Linked DNA regions of Saccharomyces cerevisiae S288C. The protein of the gene in region 1 purifies or fractionates together with the protein of each later gene. This does not show direct contact. Each region holds a gene or a part of one and is shown in the gene's direction. Other genes may lie near its edges.

Region 1 (4,136 bases):
TTGACCCGAACGACTACTTTATTATGGACTTTTCTTTAAGACTATACAATGTCAAAGCCGAAGTCCCTCTGTTCACTTCTGGCTTAACGTATATCAATAGTGCATTGATAAGGCCTATTGTCGGGTACATCAATTCTCACAGGACATACATCCCAATCAAATGCCGCATTGTAAAGAAAAAGTCTGATTTTGAGGGCTCCTGGACCATATATGATTCATACCTTATGCGGGATCTAAGTGCGGAAGCGTACGATGCCTTCGCCGACTACGTCGCTGACGATGAAAAGAGGACATTACGCTTGAGAAGGGTGGGCTTTTGGTCACTGCAACTTATACTCCAGGTGATTTTGATGAGTCTCGGTGCTATCGCGTGAGGAATACCTACTCCTGTCACTTTCTGTACATATGCATTTACATAGCATCGTTCTTTCTATCAGTTTATCTAATTTGTGACGCATCTTTCTTCTTTCTACACTGCGGAAAATCCTATTTGAAAAAAAATAGACGAAAAATATCAGGACCCACCCCCTTATGAAGGAGAGAAGGGGAAGAGGAGCTGCAAAACAAAAAGGTGAGGCTTCTTCTGTCCAGATTTTTGTGAGTGAGAGAGTGTGTGGGAAGAGAAGGAATTAAACCAAACAAAAATTGGAACCAACAACTGTTGCGTTTGCGTGTGTGCATAATATCAAAAAAGCTACAAATATAATTGTAAAATATAATAAGCATGACTCGTCCCCCATTGGTTCGTGGAATCTTTTCGTTAGGTCTTTCTGTAGCCGTTTTGAAAGGTGTTGAAAAAACAGTTCGTAAGCATTTGGAAAGACAGGGATGGATAGAGCCCCAGAAAGTGGACTATGAGTTAATTTTCACTATAGATAGGTTGAAAAACTTGGTAGATAATAAGCGTGAGGCTTTAACTGCGGAACAACCCGACGCTGGTGAACTGAGCTGGCGTAAAGTATTTAATTTCATTTCCAGACAATCCAGCGAATTGGACACACGAATATACGTTCTTATACTACTCCTATCCTTTCTACTACCTATCGCGTGGACTGTACTGGACGGTGATCGCGAGACCACGCTAGAAGATAAGGATAACGATTGTAATGTAGATCTTATTGAAAACGAAAGGAGGCTGAAGCATTACAACGATGGTGAAAGAGCAGTATTGCAATTTGGTAAAAATAGATCCGAACCTATTATATTAAGCTATAAGGACATGAACGTTTTGGAAGGGGAACATGAGTTTACCTCCAAAGAGGAACACAGTAACAGCCATTTGACAAGCAAGAGCGAAAATGCACTAAACCAAGTAGGGAGTGAAGATTTGTTAGGTTGTCACCTGGAAAAGCAATTGGAAGAAGACAAAAATGAACCGAATGGAGAAGCAGACGGTGAGGATGATAATAACCGGGAAAAGGATTGCAGCTCCAGTTCAGAAGTTGAGTCGCAGAGTAAATGCCGAAAGGAAAGTACTGCAGAGCCTGACTCTCTCTCACGGGATACCAGAACAACCTCTTCCCTTAAATCAAGTACATCATTCCCCATATCATTCAAGGGCTCGATAGACCTTAAGTCGTTAAACCAGCCTTCATCATTGTTGCATATACAAGTATCTCCCACAAAATCTAGTAATCTAGATGCACAAGTGAACACTGAACAAGCATACTCTCAACCATTTAGATACTAATGTACTATATTTCCGTCATCTCGGTTATCATCGTCACTTACAACGAGGTGCGAAAATTTTTTTCTTCTAAAGGTGAGAAGAAAACATGAAAAATTTTGAAAAATTTAACGATGAGATGGAGTTTTCAAGTAACTTTATGTAGTTGAAATACATATTAGTACTCCGTTGCAATATATAACGCCGGGCATTCTCCACGTATATACATACCGTAGTGCACAATGGGCTCCTCTTTGGATTTGGTGGCGAGCTTCTCGCATGATTCCACTCGTTTTGCATTCCAAGCAAGCGTCGCACAAAAGAACAATGTGGATATTTATCCATTAAATGAAACTAAGGATTATGTGGTCAATAGTTCATTAGTGAGTCATATTGACTATGAGACAAACGATATGAAGGTTTCAGATGTAATCTTCTTTGGGTGGTGTAGTGATTTGATAGATACGCAGTCATCCAATATCAAAAGAAAATTAGATGAAGATGAAGGAACTGGTGAATCAAGTGAGCAAAGATGTGAAAACTTTTTCGTTAACGGATTTCCTGACGGAAGAATTGTTGTTTACTCTTCTAATGGTAAGGATATAGTTAATATCATCAAGAATAAAAAAGAGATTTTGGGAGCAGACACAGACGAGTCTGATATATGGATTTTGGATAGTGATAAAGTCGTTAAGAAATTACAGTATAACAATTCGAAACCTCTAAAGACTTTTACGCTAGTTGATGGTAAAGATGACGAAATAGTTCATTTCCAAATTTTGCACCAAAATGGCACTTTATTGGTATGCATTATTACTAAACAGATGGTTTATATTGTTGATCCATCAAAGAGAAGACCCTCTACTAAGTATAGTTTTGAAATATCAGACGCTGTAGCATGTGAATTTTCTTCAGACGGTAAGTATCTGTTAATTGCCAACAACGAAGAATTAATAGCTTACGACTTGAAGGAAGATTCAAAGCTGATCCAATCATGGCCTGTCCAAGTGAAGACATTGAAAACTTTAGATGATTTGATAATGGCTTTGACTACTGATGGTAAAATTAATAATTATAAGATTGGCGAAGCCGACAAAGTTTGTTCTATAGTTGTAAATGAAGATTTGGAAATTATAGATTTCACGCCAATAAACAGCAAGCAACAGGTTCTAATTTCATGGCTAAATGTCAATGAACCCAACTTTGAATCTATTTCTTTAAAAGAAATTGAAACTCAGGGGTATATTACAATAAACAAAAATGAAAAAAATAATGCTGATGAAGCGGACCAAAAGAAATTAGAAGAGAAAGAAGAAGAAGCTCAGCCTGAAGTTCAACATGAGAAGAAGGAGACTGAAACTAAGATAAACAAGAAAGTTAGTAAATCAGATCAAGTTGAAATTGCTAATATTCTCTCATCGCATTTAGAAGCTAATTCAACAGAAATATTGGATGATCTGATGTCTGGAAGTTGGACAGAACCAGAGATTAAAAAATTCATCTTAACCAAGATCAATACAGTAGATCATCTAAGTAAGATATTTTTGACTATATCAAAGTCAATAACACAAAATCCATGGAATGAAGAAAATTTACTTCCGTTGTGGCTTAAGTGGTTGCTGACTTTGAAAAGTGGGGAGTTAAATTCTATAAAGGATAAACATACAAAGAAAAATTGCAAGCATTTAAAATCTGCATTAAGATCTTCAGAGGAGATCTTGCCTGTTCTACTCGGTATACAAGGTAGATTAGAAATGTTGAGGAGGCAAGCAAAATTGAGAGAGGATCTTGCACAACTATCTATGCAAGAGGGTGAAGATGATGAAATAGAAGTTATAGAGCATTCAAATGTAATTAGTAATCCTTTGCAGGATCAAGCATCGCCTGTTGAAAAGCTTGAACCAGATTCAATTGTTTATGCAAATGGAGAAAGTGACGAATTTGTCGACGCATCGGAATACAAAGATTGATCAAGCATTTTAAATATATTTAAGTATATACAAAGAAAAGTTTCACATGAGAAGCACTGATTGATGCAGCTATTAATTTTCAAAAGATTACGTTGTCTTCATCATTTGAGACGGGTCATCGCAAGAAAATTTTTCAATATTAAACTATAATAAAATGTAGTAAAAAATAGATGCAATACTACTATTCAATTTTTGTGGTTTTCCAGTTATCAAACTAAGTATAGACAAAATTTGAGCATGTCAGAGGAATTTATCGCAGTTTCTACTTTGGCTAGAAACCTGGAAATTGCCAAGGGTAATGAGTTTCATACCATTTTGGCGACTTTAAGATCACCAGTTTATATCAATGAACAGCTGCTAAAATCCGAATTGAGCTTCCTTGTTACAAAAATCCTAAAACTTATCAGATCAGGCAATGACTTTGATCTTTGGAAAGGATGTCACACCTCTGTTGTGACTTGCGCCTATAATCCACTGGTCTTATCGACTCATGGAGGTCA
Region 2 (6,774 bases), on another chromosome or scaffold:
TTCAGACATTATTACTTGTTTTGATTGATTTTTTGCTTATACTCGAGTTTAGGTGAAAGGCCTTACTTTAAGCTTTCACGAGTTTATCCACCAAATTCTTTCAACGACGTCTCTCTTCCGGCAATTTTTTTTGCCCGAAAAAGACTAAGGCGGGTGAGGGGAATTGAACGGCACTATAATGTGGAGGTAAACAGAATGATCAAGCGCTATATACATAAGTAGCTATAGATTATTTATTTCAAGACGGCAACCAACTTTTCGCCAGAATTCCTCCCGTGCTTAATATCATCAAGTAACTGTGGGATATCATCTAACCCGTTCTTGTAAACTTTCACTGGGATGTGGTGGATTTCACCATCATTGATTTTTGGATTGATGAACTTAATAAATTTTATGGCGGCTTCCTTGTATTCAGGGTCTGCTGGCAAAGTAAACGTGCCAAATGGGACGTCGTTACCTCCTATCAAATATAGAAGGGTTCCTTCAATACTGACGTTTTGCCTCCTGTCTTCCTCCTTGATATCTTTTTCGGTTAAAACGGTCAATTGAACGACCGTAGCGTCTAAGTCATCAGCGGCACATTTGTACACCTGTTGAATAGTTTCTGTGTTGGAGACACAGTCCACCAAGTAAGGAATGTTGTTGTACTTCTTTTTTATCTGTTCGATAACGTCAGCATCGTGGTAGTCAAAAAGTTCATCTGCACCGTACTCTTTCAACAATTTTTCATGTTTACGAGAAGCAACGACGATGATCTTGCTGAAACCGTTTAGTTTTTTTGCCAATTGAATAAGCATCTGGCCAACAGCAGTGGCACCACCCCAAAATAAGATGGGTTGATCTCTTTGCGCTTTGGAGGGCTTCCATGTCATGTCCAAGCCAAAACTATGTGTAAGGATCATACCAGCCGTGGTCAATGAGACTGGGAGGGATACTGCCCCTTCTAAAGATTTTACGGGGCCTTCTGGTAGCTTGTCTTTACCGCACAATCTAAACTCTCTGGCTGGTTTATAAGCAGTCTCGGATGAAATGGCAGAGTACTCAGCAAAGGCACCGTTTGAGGGGAACCTCACTGAAGCACCGTGAATAACCCCATAAATGTAATCACCAATGGCAAAGCGTGCAGCATCAACATTTGGGCCCAACTTTACGATTTGGCCGGCTGCATCACAGCCTAAGAGGGCACCTTGAGGACCAATCTTGAAATCAATATGTTTCCAATCGGTAGGGTTACCGGCAACGGCGACAGTCTTAATTAGAACAAATCCTTCTTCTAATTCAGGAATTGGAATGTCCTGTTTGACTACAGCCTTGCCATTTTCAATGACAACGGCTTTCATGGTTTCTGGAATCGAGGCGGACATGCTTGATATGCAGTATGATATTGCTTTTTGCTGTGTATAGTTAACGATTTTTTTTCAACTAGAATTACAGTACTAATCAAGAAGTGAGAGGAAGAAAACGGCAAAAAAAAAACTCTCTCCTTTTAAATCGAAGCATTGCCGAAATACCTTAAAAACGGTCTTAAATCCTTAACATCTGTCCTTACTAATCGATGCCAATCCAACGGAGGGAGCCCATATGCTAGGTACTAAGAGTACGCAGGGGCGGAACCGCGCGACAACCGTAAGCGGATCCGAGGAACTTTAGTCAGCAGGGGCTGTGATGACCATTAAAAAATTGCGGACACAGGTAGTGGAACGAGCAATCAATGTGATCAATTTGCCATTTCATTCCACGAAATGGTTTCCATTCTAAGCATGAATGCTTTGACGTTACGGGTGTTGGTTATTTCGGTTCTTTTTATTGCTTCCGTGGGCACGTACGAGAAGGGAAGATGAATAGAAAAAGAGTTTCCGAGTTTTGTATGTCCAATGTTTACATAATTTATATAACTTGAAGTTTAATCTTGGCATAAAGCTCTAGTTGTGACGAAGTGTGTAGGCCATCACATCAGTTCTCCAGTTTTCTACCCAATTTTTTTATGGATACCTTGATTTTTGGTTTAGGGCTGGATGTCTTTACGCCCTTTATTTGTGTTTTACTGCCCAAACTAGTGCCGGTCTCTAAATATTTTTCTGTATTAGTAGTAGAATCGTTCTCCATTAGTAATGCTTTTTTTTTCTTTTCAAAATTGATTGCCTTGACGTCTAAGTAGTTATTCAGTTCTTTTTCCTTTTTTAGCAACTCATTCTTGCTCTTCTGGTAAAATTCCAGGTCCTCTTTACTCAACCTAGTAAAACTTTCACGGTCTCTCACCAAACCGTTATATTGTTTTTGTTTACTAATAGCATTAGACCTAAGCTGATCTCGCAGGGACTTCCTGGTTTTCCTTTTATATTCCGCTTCATATTTTTTTTGCTCCACTTGCTCTCGTATCCTCTGGGCCTCTACATTACCAACTCCTTCTGACACGAATTTCAGTGGTTTTTTCTCTCTTGCACTATTAGCATTATTATCACTGGTAGATGACATGATGATATAACAGAGCCCACAGTCTTTTGTTGGAACCGCTTTCTCTAGGCTTCGATGGACTTACATCTAATTGCACATTCTCGTGCGTTTAAACGTCATTTTTCCCTCAGATTGGCAGTGCATCAAAAGTAATTCCTAGGGACGACAAAAAGGCGGAAAAGGTTTCAGAAAAATAAGCGGACTTAGCTCAGTTGGGAGAGCGCCAGACTGAAGAAAAACTTCGGTCAAGTCATCTGGAGGTCCTGTGTTCGATCCACAGAGTTCGCAATTTGAAAAATTTTTTTTAATGATTACGCATGTGGATGTGTTCAGTATCAACCGATGCTCGCTTTTCCAATCAAATGATACAAGCCAGACCGAACATTGCATGTTTTCCATTGTAACTTCCCAGGTATATCTGAATTAGTTGTAAAAAGTAATAGTTTACCCGGAATCGTGTGAAAAATTTTGAAAAAAAAAAATGAAGAGCCAAGATACAATGAGATGAGATGAGGTGCTGAAGATGCATGGAGATTCTGTATTTATCTCAAATAAAGTACGCAATAGAGTATATAAGCCAAGTCACCTTTTATATTTCTTAGTTTTTAACTTGCAAAGACTTATAAGAGACTTATAAAACAAGGAGAAAATGGCCAAAAAAGCTATCGATTCAAGAATCCCGTCACTGATCAGGAATGGTGTTCAAACCAAACAAAGGTCCATATTTGTCATCGTTGGGGACAGGGCACGTAACCAGCTCCCAAATTTACATTATTTGATGATGAGTGCTGACCTTAAGATGAACAAGTCCGTCTTATGGGCTTATAAGAAGAAGCTTCTAGGATTCACTTCGCACAGAAAAAAAAGAGAGAATAAAATTAAGAAAGAAATTAAAAGAGGTACAAGGGAAGTGAATGAAATGGACCCTTTTGAATCTTTTATCTCTAACCAAAATATCAGATATGTATACTACAAAGAGAGTGAGAAAATATTGGGTAATACCTATGGTATGTGTATTCTTCAGGACTTCGAGGCATTAACCCCAAATCTTTTAGCAAGAACCATTGAAACTGTAGAAGGTGGTGGTATTGTGGTTATTTTATTGAAATCAATGTCATCGTTAAAGCAACTGTACACCATGACTATGGATGTTCACGCCCGTTATCGTACTGAGGCTCATGGTGACGTTGTTGCAAGATTTAACGAAAGATTCATACTTTCTTTAGGTTCAAATCCAAACTGTTTAGTCGTTGATGATGAATTAAATGTTCTACCGCTATCTGGTGCCAAAAACGTGAAACCACTACCTCCTAAGGAAGATGACGAATTGCCTCCAAAGCAATTAGAGTTGCAAGAATTAAAAGAATCCTTAGAAGATGTCCAACCAGCTGGTTCATTGGTTTCTCTATCCAAAACTGTCAATCAAGCCCACGCTATTCTTTCTTTCATTGATGCCATTTCGGAAAAAACTTTGAATTTCACAGTTGCACTAACAGCTGGAAGAGGTAGAGGTAAGTCTGCTGCTTTAGGTATTTCTATTGCCGCGGCCGTTTCTCACGGGTATTCTAATATTTTTGTTACTTCTCCATCTCCCGAAAATTTAAAGACTCTATTTGAGTTTATTTTCAAAGGATTCGATGCCTTAGGTTACCAAGAACACATTGATTATGATATCATTCAATCTACGAACCCCGACTTCAACAAAGCCATTGTGAGAGTTGATATTAAAAGAGATCACAGACAAACGATTCAATATATTGTTCCTCAAGACCATCAAGTTCTGGGCCAAGCTGAATTAGTTGTCATTGATGAAGCTGCAGCTATTCCTTTGCCAATCGTCAAGAACTTGCTGGGCCCATATCTAGTCTTCATGGCATCCACTATCAATGGTTACGAAGGTACGGGTAGATCTTTATCTCTGAAGTTAATTCAGCAATTGCGTAATCAAAACAACACATCCGGTCGGGAAAGTACTCAAACCGCCGTTGTTTCGAGAGATAATAAGGAAAAAGACTCTCACTTACATTCTCAATCCCGTCAATTACGTGAAATTTCCTTGGACGAACCAATCAGATATGCTCCTGGTGACCCAATTGAAAAATGGTTAAACAAGCTCTTATGTTTAGATGTTACTTTAATTAAAAACCCAAGATTTGCAACAAGAGGAACTCCTCACCCATCCCAATGTAATCTATTTGTTGTCAATAGAGATACTCTATTTTCTTATCATCCTGTCTCAGAAAATTTCCTGGAAAAAATGATGGCACTGTACGTTTCATCCCATTACAAGAATTCTCCAAACGACTTACAACTGATGAGTGACGCCCCAGCGCACAAACTATTTGTTCTTTTACCACCAATTGATCCAAAGGATGGCGGCAGGATCCCTGACCCTCTATGTGTCATTCAAATTGCATTGGAAGGTGAAATCAGTAAGGAGAGTGTCAGAAATTCATTATCGAGAGGCCAAAGAGCTGGTGGTGATTTAATCCCATGGCTGATCTCTCAACAATTCCAAGACGAGGAATTCGCTAGTTTGAGTGGTGCTCGTATCGTCAGAATTGCCACTAATCCTGAATACGCATCCATGGGCTATGGTTCTCGTGCAATTGAATTACTGAGAGACTATTTCGAGGGTAAATTCACTGACATGTCTGAAGATGTTCGTCCTAAGGATTATTCTATAAAGAGGGTGAGCGATAAGGAACTGGCCAAAACTAATTTATTAAAGGATGACGTTAAATTAAGAGACGCAAAAACGTTGCCACCTCTACTATTAAAACTTTCTGAACAGCCTCCTCATTATCTACATTATTTGGGTGTTTCATATGGTTTAACGCAATCGTTGCATAAATTCTGGAAGAATAACAGCTTTGTTCCTGTTTATTTACGTCAAACCGCAAACGATTTAACTGGTGAACATACTTGTGTTATGTTGAACGTTTTGGAAGGCAGAGAATCAAACTGGCTCGTTGAATTTGCCAAAGATTTCCGTAAAAGATTTCTGTCGCTTCTTTCTTATGATTTTCATAAGTTTACTGCCGTTCAAGCCTTAAGTGTCATTGAAAGTAGTAAGAAAGCACAAGATTTGTCTGATGACGAAAAGCATGATAATAAAGAATTGACGCGGACGCATCTGGATGACATTTTTTCTCCATTTGACTTGAAAAGATTGGATAGCTACTCAAATAATTTGCTAGATTATCACGTTATCGGTGATATGATACCCATGCTTGCTCTTTTGTACTTCGGCGATAAAATGGGAGATTCAGTAAAACTATCAAGCGTCCAGAGTGCTATCCTGTTGGCTATAGGGTTACAGCGTAAAAACATCGACACTATTGCCAAGGAATTGAATTTACCTTCCAATCAAACTATTGCTATGTTTGCGAAGATCATGAGAAAAATGTCTCAGTACTTCCGTCAGCTGTTAAGCCAATCAATTGAAGAAACTCTACCAAATATCAAAGATGATGCTATTGCTGAAATGGATGGTGAAGAAATCAAAAATTACAACGCTGCAGAAGCACTGGACCAAATGGAAGAAGATTTAGAAGAAGCCGGTTCTGAAGCCGTTCAGGCGATGAGGGAAAAACAAAAAGAGCTAATCAACTCCTTGAACTTAGATAAATACGCCATAAATGATAACAGTGAGGAATGGGCTGAATCTCAAAAATCTTTAGAAATAGCTGCCAAGGCCAAAGGCGTCGTCAGTTTAAAAACTGGTAAAAAGAGAACGACTGAAAAGGCTGAAGATATCTATAGACAAGAGATGAAAGCTATGAAAAAACCAAGAAAGTCTAAAAAGGCTGCAAATTAAGCGTTCTACTCTTTGTCAAACCCTTTTATAGCTAAACGTTTACTTAATTTGTACAATAATATAGAATAGAAACATAGTTGATGTTTGAACCTTTACATATTCCTTTCAATCGTGTCGAGCGATATAAGTATTACGATTATGCCGGCGAAAACTGAACCCGTTTTAGACAATTTCAATCAACATACTCCACTCCGTAGTGAGTAACTTTTGGAGTAATACGAAGTAACCAAAGAGGTCAAAACGGAACTATATACCCCAAAATAAGCATCATTCAAATGGTCGAATTAACTGAAATTAAAGACGATGTCGTTCAATTAGACGAACCACAATTTTCCAGAAATCAGGCCATCGTGGAAGAAAAGGCTTCTGCAACAAACAACGACGTTGTCGATGATGAAGATGACTCTGATAGTGATTTTGAAGATGAATTTGATGAAAATGAAACATTGTTGGACAGAATCGTTGCTTTAAAAGACATTGTCCCCCCAGGTAAGAGACAA
Region 3 (6,186 bases), on another chromosome or scaffold:
ATGAAAAATTCTCTTGATTCAAATAGATCCAAAAGCACCTCAAACAAATTTGTCTTAATATAACTTGATTTGATGTTACCGGGAATCATGTCATTAGGCTCTGGTACCCAAGCTATATAATAATTGAGTATATGTTCGTATAGCATGGCGTGTCTTATTGGTAGGTCCTTGTTCAATTCCCTCTTTCCTTTCACCTTGAGGTTCCATAGAAAGGGGCTTTTTTTATTCTTGTCCCTTTTGGTGATGTTCGTATCTTGATTGATATCAGAATCGTGCAAAGTGTCTACAAGTGAGAGCAGTGCCTTCATATCTACATTGAAATTAATTTTCTCCTTTAGTTCTTCTTCAGGTAAGTCCAACATTGCGTATAACAATACATTTACTAAGTGCTTCCGCTCCTGAAAGTAAGGTTTAACAAACGTGGTTATTGAATGTAGGCATCTCCCTGTTGGATCCAGGACCAAAAATGCTTTGATAGTTTTAACATATCTCAACAAAGCGTCCACCGTAGTTACGCTGGGGTTTAGAATGTATTTCTTGAAATCAGACAAAAAAGTTGTTACAATATTTGTGTAGTCTTTAAAATCTTTCATAATTTTCCTCAATTCCAATAAAGTAACCTTTGAATCAGGATAAGCCAAAACGCATATATCAAAGATTTCATTCGTTCTTATCCTAAGAAAATTGGACTCAAAACAGTTGAAAACTGTAGTGGTCAGTTCGTGATCATCCTCTGGACAACCGACTAATTTAGAGAACTGAGACCAATATTGATTAATAAATTTGTTGAATGTTTCCATAATCATAAACCTTTTATTCCATACTCTACTCATGTTATCTTCACAAAATTTATTGATTTTGCTGTAAAGAGCATTGACTATCAATTCCGTAGAGGATAAGGAACCATTAGCAGATTTGAGCCATTGGATTAAATTGTCTGCCAGGTCGAAATCATCATCCATTATTAATTTGTCTAATCTTGTTCTTAAATTATTTTTGAACTTTATATTTCTATTCAACAGATAATGTCTTAAAGAATTAAGTTCAAGTGCCCAGTCGTTTACATTTACGTCAAAAATAGGAACGTAACGTAAAGGAAACTCGTAATAATTTTCCCATCGTTGGATATCTTTTAGATAATTAATGTTGTTAAAATGTAAGAAAAAATGATAACGAACCTGGAAAATATAAAACTCTTTGAGCGTGGAAAAAAGTTGTAGTTGTAACTCTTTGTTTGTATTTCCCTCATTAACTATTGAATTGTTTGCCTGACTAGTGTTTATCATGCTATATGGCGATGTGGTTGCGTTATTAGGGAAGAGAACCTTAATGATATTCTTAATACGAAGGCTTGGAGGACGTAGTTGATGGTTACTCTTGGCATCATTAGGGCTCATCCATGTAAGTAAAGAGTTCAAATCATCGACTATGTTTGTGTGAAAGATGTATGAGGAAAGTGTTTGTAACTCATCTGTAATAACTTTCAAATCTCGAGTTGGGGTAATCTGAAATGACATGATGGAAAAACCTTAACTATAAGCCATAAATATTTACAGTCCCGCTAAGTCTGGCTTTCGTCTAGTTTTCGATATTTTGGCTCTTTTGTCTATTACTGTTTTTGTAACCAAAGGTTTGAAAATTTAGATGCAACTAATGAACTTACGCAGTAACATGCAAGTACCCAATAAAAAAAGAAATTTTTGAAGAGACGTTCTTGCATTCAGGACATGGTATGTTTTTAATTTCGTTTCTTTAGTTCTCAGGCTCTTCAAAGTACTAACACTTTATTGGCAAGGGGCGCTCAAATGTGATGCATCATTATAGAGTAATAATAAAATAAAAAGAAAGGATGCAAGCCCGGAACAAGAGGCAATTGAATCATTCACCTCATTAACCAAATGTGACCCCAAGGTATCCAGGAAGTACCTGCAGCGTAATCACTGGAACATCAATTACGCTCTCAATGATTATTATGACAAGGAAATAGGGACGTTTACTGACGAGGTTTCAACTGTGGCTCATCCACCCGTATACCCGAAGGAGCTAACACAGGTATTTGAACACTATATCAATAACAACTTGTTTGATATAGACTCACTGGTCAAGTTCATTGAGGAGCTAGGCTACAATCTTGAAGATTTAGCGACATTATGCTTAGCCCATTTACTGGGGTACAAGAAACTAGAAGAACCCTTAAAACGAGAGGACTTCCTGTCAACATGGTTTATGCAAGGCTGTTCCACCATTTCAGACATGCAAGAGTGCATCAAGACGTTAGATGTTAAATTACATGAAGACTTACAATATTTCACACAGATTTATAACTATGCTTTCAATTTGATTCTGGACCCAAATCGAAAGGATATAGATACAGACGAAGGCATCCAGTATTGGAAGCTATTTTTCCAACCAGAGTACCCAGTGCGTATGGAACCAGATTTGCTTGAGGCATGGTTCCGTTTCCTTCGCGATGAGGGGAAAACCACTATAAGTAAAGACACCTGGCGTATGCTGCTCCTCTTTTTCAAACGATACCCCACTATTCAGAAAATAATAAGCGATTACGACGAAACTGCAGCCTGGCCATTTATTATCGATGAGTTCTATGAGTGCTTACAGGATCAGCAATAAACATCCTTTCATATACTTAAGGGTATGCTGTTTAATATTGCATGGAATACGTTACCCTTCTAAGATAGATGGGAATAAGGCGGAAATAAAAAACGCGATGAGCAGTGGAAAATTTTTCAGAAATTTTCAGTTCCCTCATAATATAGATGTAGATATTGTATAAGGTCGTACGTATATCAGAGTAGCCACTAGAAGGACCAGAGAAACTGGAATAAGAGCTATTATGGTCAAATCATACCAACGTTTTGAGCAAGCAGCTGCTTTTGGTGTAATAGCCTCCAATGCCAATTGTGTTTGGATACCTGCGTCATCCGGAAATAGTAATGGTAGTGGACCAGGACAATTGATTACGAGTGCTCTCGAGGACGTTAATATATGGGATATTAAGACCGGGGATTTGGTCAGTAAATTATCCGATGGCTTACCTCCAGGCGCATCTGATGCTAGAGGCGCCAAGCCAGCCGAGTGTACATATTTGGAGGCTCATAAAGATACGGATTTATTAGCTGTCGGTTACGCAGATGGTGTCATTAAAGTTTGGGATTTGATGTCTAAGACTGTGCTTTTGAATTTTAACGGTCACAAAGCAGCTATAACATTATTACAATTTGATGGGACTGGCACAAGATTAATTTCTGGTTCCAAGGACTCCAATATCATTGTATGGGATCTTGTTGGAGAAGTTGGTCTTTATAAACTTAGATCACACAAGGATTCCATTACTGGCTTTTGGTGTCAAGGAGAAGATTGGCTGATCAGCACCTCCAAAGATGGAATGATCAAGCTATGGGACCTAAAAACACATCAATGTATAGAGACACATATTGCGCATACTGGAGAGTGTTGGGGCCTTGCAGTGAAGGATGATTTACTGATCACAACTGGTACTGATAGTCAAGTAAAAATTTGGAAACTGGATATAGAAAATGACAAAATGGGGGGGAAACTAACAGAGATGGGTATTTTCGAAAAGCAAAGTAAGCAACGTGGGTTAAAGATTGAGTTCATAACAAATTCGTCTGACAAAACCTCTTTTTTTTACATCCAAAATGCTGATAAAACCATCGAGACTTTCAGAATTAGAAAAGAAGAAGAAATAGCAAGAGGTTTAAAGAAAAGAGAGAAGAGGCTAAAAGAAAAGGGGTTGACAGAAGAAGAAATTGCAAAATCTATTAAAGAATCCTACTCCTCCTTTATATTGCATCCTTTTCAAACCATAAGATCATTGTATAAAATAAAATCTGCATCATGGACAACGGTCTCAAGTTCCAAACTTGAGTTGGTATTAACTACATCGAGTAATACCATAGAGTATTATTCCATTCCATATGAAAAAAGAGACCCAACAAGCCCTGCTCCTCTCAAGACACATACTATTGAATTGCAAGGGCAAAGAACGGATGTGCGTAGTATTGACATCAGTGATGATAACAAATTACTTGCCACAGCATCCAATGGTTCATTGAAAATATGGAATATCAAAACACATAAATGTATCAGAACTTTCGAATGTGGGTATGCATTAACTTGTAAGTTTTTGCCAGGTGGGCTACTAGTCATACTGGGTACAAGAAACGGGGAGTTACAGCTCTTTGATCTAGCATCATCAAGTCTTTTGGATACCATTGAAGATGCACATGATGCGGCAATTTGGTCGCTAGATCTGACCTCAGATGGTAAACGATTAGTGACCGGATCTGCCGATAAAACTGTCAAGTTTTGGGATTTCAAAGTTGAAAATAGCCTAGTGCCAGGTACCAAGAACAAATTCCTGCCTGTTTTAAAACTGCACCATGATACAACTTTGGAATTAACTGACGACATTTTATGTGTACGGGTTTCTCCTGACGATAGATATCTAGCCATCTCGTTGCTGGATAATACTGTTAAGGTATTCTTTTTGGACTCAATGAAGTTTTACCTAAGTTTATATGGGCACAAATTACCTGTACTATCTATCGATATTTCATTTGATTCTAAGATGATTATTACGTCTTCCGCAGACAAAAATATCAAGATTTGGGGTTTAGATTTTGGTGACTGTCACAAGTCTTTATTTGCCCATCAGGATTCGATTATGAACGTTAAATTCTTACCACAGTCTCACAACTTCTTTAGTTGTTCTAAAGACGCAGTGGTGAAATATTGGGATGGCGAGAAATTTGAATGCATTCAAAAACTATACGCTCATCAGAGCGAAGTTTGGGCTTTGGCGGTTGCTACTGATGGCGGCTTTGTTGTTTCTTCATCCCATGATCACAGTATAAGAATCTGGGAAGAAACCGAGGACCAGGTATTTTTAGAAGAGGAAAAGGAGAAAGAACTTGAAGAACAGTACGAGGATACATTGCTAACTTCTTTGGAAGAAGGAAACGGTGATGATGCATTTAAAGCTGATGCATCGGGTGAAGGCGTTGAAGATGAAGCATCCGGTGTTCATAAACAGACTTTAGAATCGTTAAAGGCTGGTGAAAGACTTATGGAGGCGCTAGATTTAGGAATTGCTGAGATTGAAGGTTTAGAGGCATATAACAGAGATATGAAGCTATGGCAAAGAAAGAAGTTGGGTGAAGCGCCAATAAAACCACAGGGTAACGCTGTTCTAATTGCTGTGAATAAAACTCCTGAGCAATATATTATGGATACCCTGTTAAGAATAAGAATGTCTCAGTTAGAAGATGCACTGATGGTTATGCCATTCTCATATGTCCTCAAATTTTTAAAATTTATTGATACCGTTATGCAAAACAAAACTTTGCTGCACTCTCACTTACCATTAATTTGCAAGAATTTATTTTTCATTATCAAATTTAATCATAAAGAATTGGTTTCTCAGAAAAATGAAGAATTGAAATTGCAAATAAATAGAGTAAAGACTGAATTAAGAAGTGCATTAAAATCTACCGAGGATGATCTAGGCTTTAATGTTCAAGGGTTGAAATTCGTCAAGCAACAATGGAATCTAAGGCATAACTACGAATTCGTTGACGAATATGACCAACAGGAGAAAGAGAGTAATAGTGCAAGGAAGAGAGTTTTCGGGACCGTTATATAATAAAACTATTATCCTACATAATACCGGCATTACTCTGCCCTTTTCACACTTCAAAAGGATAGATTAAATTATCTGTATATTATACAATTCCAATCATAAAAATTGTCATTCCGATTGCCCTTCGGTAATAATGGGCATATCCAAATAACGGAATATGTGTTTTTTATACTTATTGGTCGCTGACATATGCTGTTTTTTGCGAGATGTCTCTCGTCTCTGCAGAGCAGTTGTAAAATTATAGGTCATGCATTTTTTTTTTTTTGATAATGAATAACTATCTAATCTAACAAAATATACGTGAGATACTATGCCCATTTCCCTAGAAGAGCCATTAAAGCAGCTCCACAACACATGATGAGATATGCACTAAGCATTTTTTTGAGGCCATCAGGTCCTTTGAATTGATTAGAGTATAAGAATTCATGAGCCATTAATTCGACTAGTCCAGTATAAATAAGAATTCCTGATGATATCGAGTCAAAAACACCATTAGCAATTAA

Evidence for each region. Proteins that work in one complex are often made in the same cells at the same time.
Region 2: the proteins of UTP9 (region 1) and KRE33 purify together in Saccharomyces cerevisiae (affinity purification with mass spectrometry; 4 studies listed by BioGRID). This does not show direct contact.
Region 3: the proteins of UTP9 (region 1) and DIP2 purify together in Saccharomyces cerevisiae (affinity purification with mass spectrometry, with the first as the bait; 3 studies listed by BioGRID). This does not show direct contact.

The regions. Positions count from the first base shown.
Region 1 is NC_001140.6:490,023-494,158, forward strand, and holds UTP9 (Utp9p), read left to right. Parts: upstream 1-1,908; coding exon 1,909-3,636; downstream 3,637-4,136. Other genes in the region: MDM31 (Mdm31p), read left to right, coding at 1-374; NVJ1 (Nvj1p), read left to right, coding at 725-1,690; RIX1 (Rix1p), read left to right, coding at 3,874-4,136. UniProt on the Saccharomyces cerevisiae protein: Involved in nucleolar processing of pre-18S ribosomal RNA. Required for optimal pre-ribosomal RNA transcription by RNA polymerase I together with a subset of U3 proteins required for transcription (t-UTPs).
Region 2 is NC_001146.8:372,218-378,991, forward strand, and holds KRE33 (ribosome biosynthesis protein KRE33), read left to right. Parts: upstream 1-3,103; coding exon 3,104-6,274; downstream 6,275-6,774. Other genes in the region: peptidylprolyl isomerase FPR1, read right to left, coding at 1-9; YNL134C (uncharacterized protein), read right to left, coding at 234-1,364; FYV6 (Fyv6p), read right to left, coding at 1,954-2,475; TOM22 (Tom22p), read left to right, coding at 6,550-6,774. UniProt on the Saccharomyces cerevisiae protein: RNA cytidine acetyltransferase with specificity toward both 18S rRNA and tRNAs. Catalyzes the formation of N(4)-acetylcytidine (ac4C) at positions 1280 and 1773 in 18S rRNA.
Region 3 is NC_001144.5:396,803-402,988, forward strand, and holds DIP2 (snoRNA-binding rRNA-processing protein DIP2), read left to right. Parts: upstream 1-2,854; coding exon 2,855-5,686; downstream 5,687-6,186. Other genes in the region: APC2 (anaphase promoting complex subunit 2), read right to left, coding at 1-1,517; NEDD8 ligase DCN1, read left to right, coding at 1,728-1,730, 1,825-2,631; low-affinity Zn(2+) transporter ZRT2, read right to left, coding at 5,992-6,186. UniProt on the Saccharomyces cerevisiae protein: Involved in nucleolar processing of pre-18S ribosomal RNA.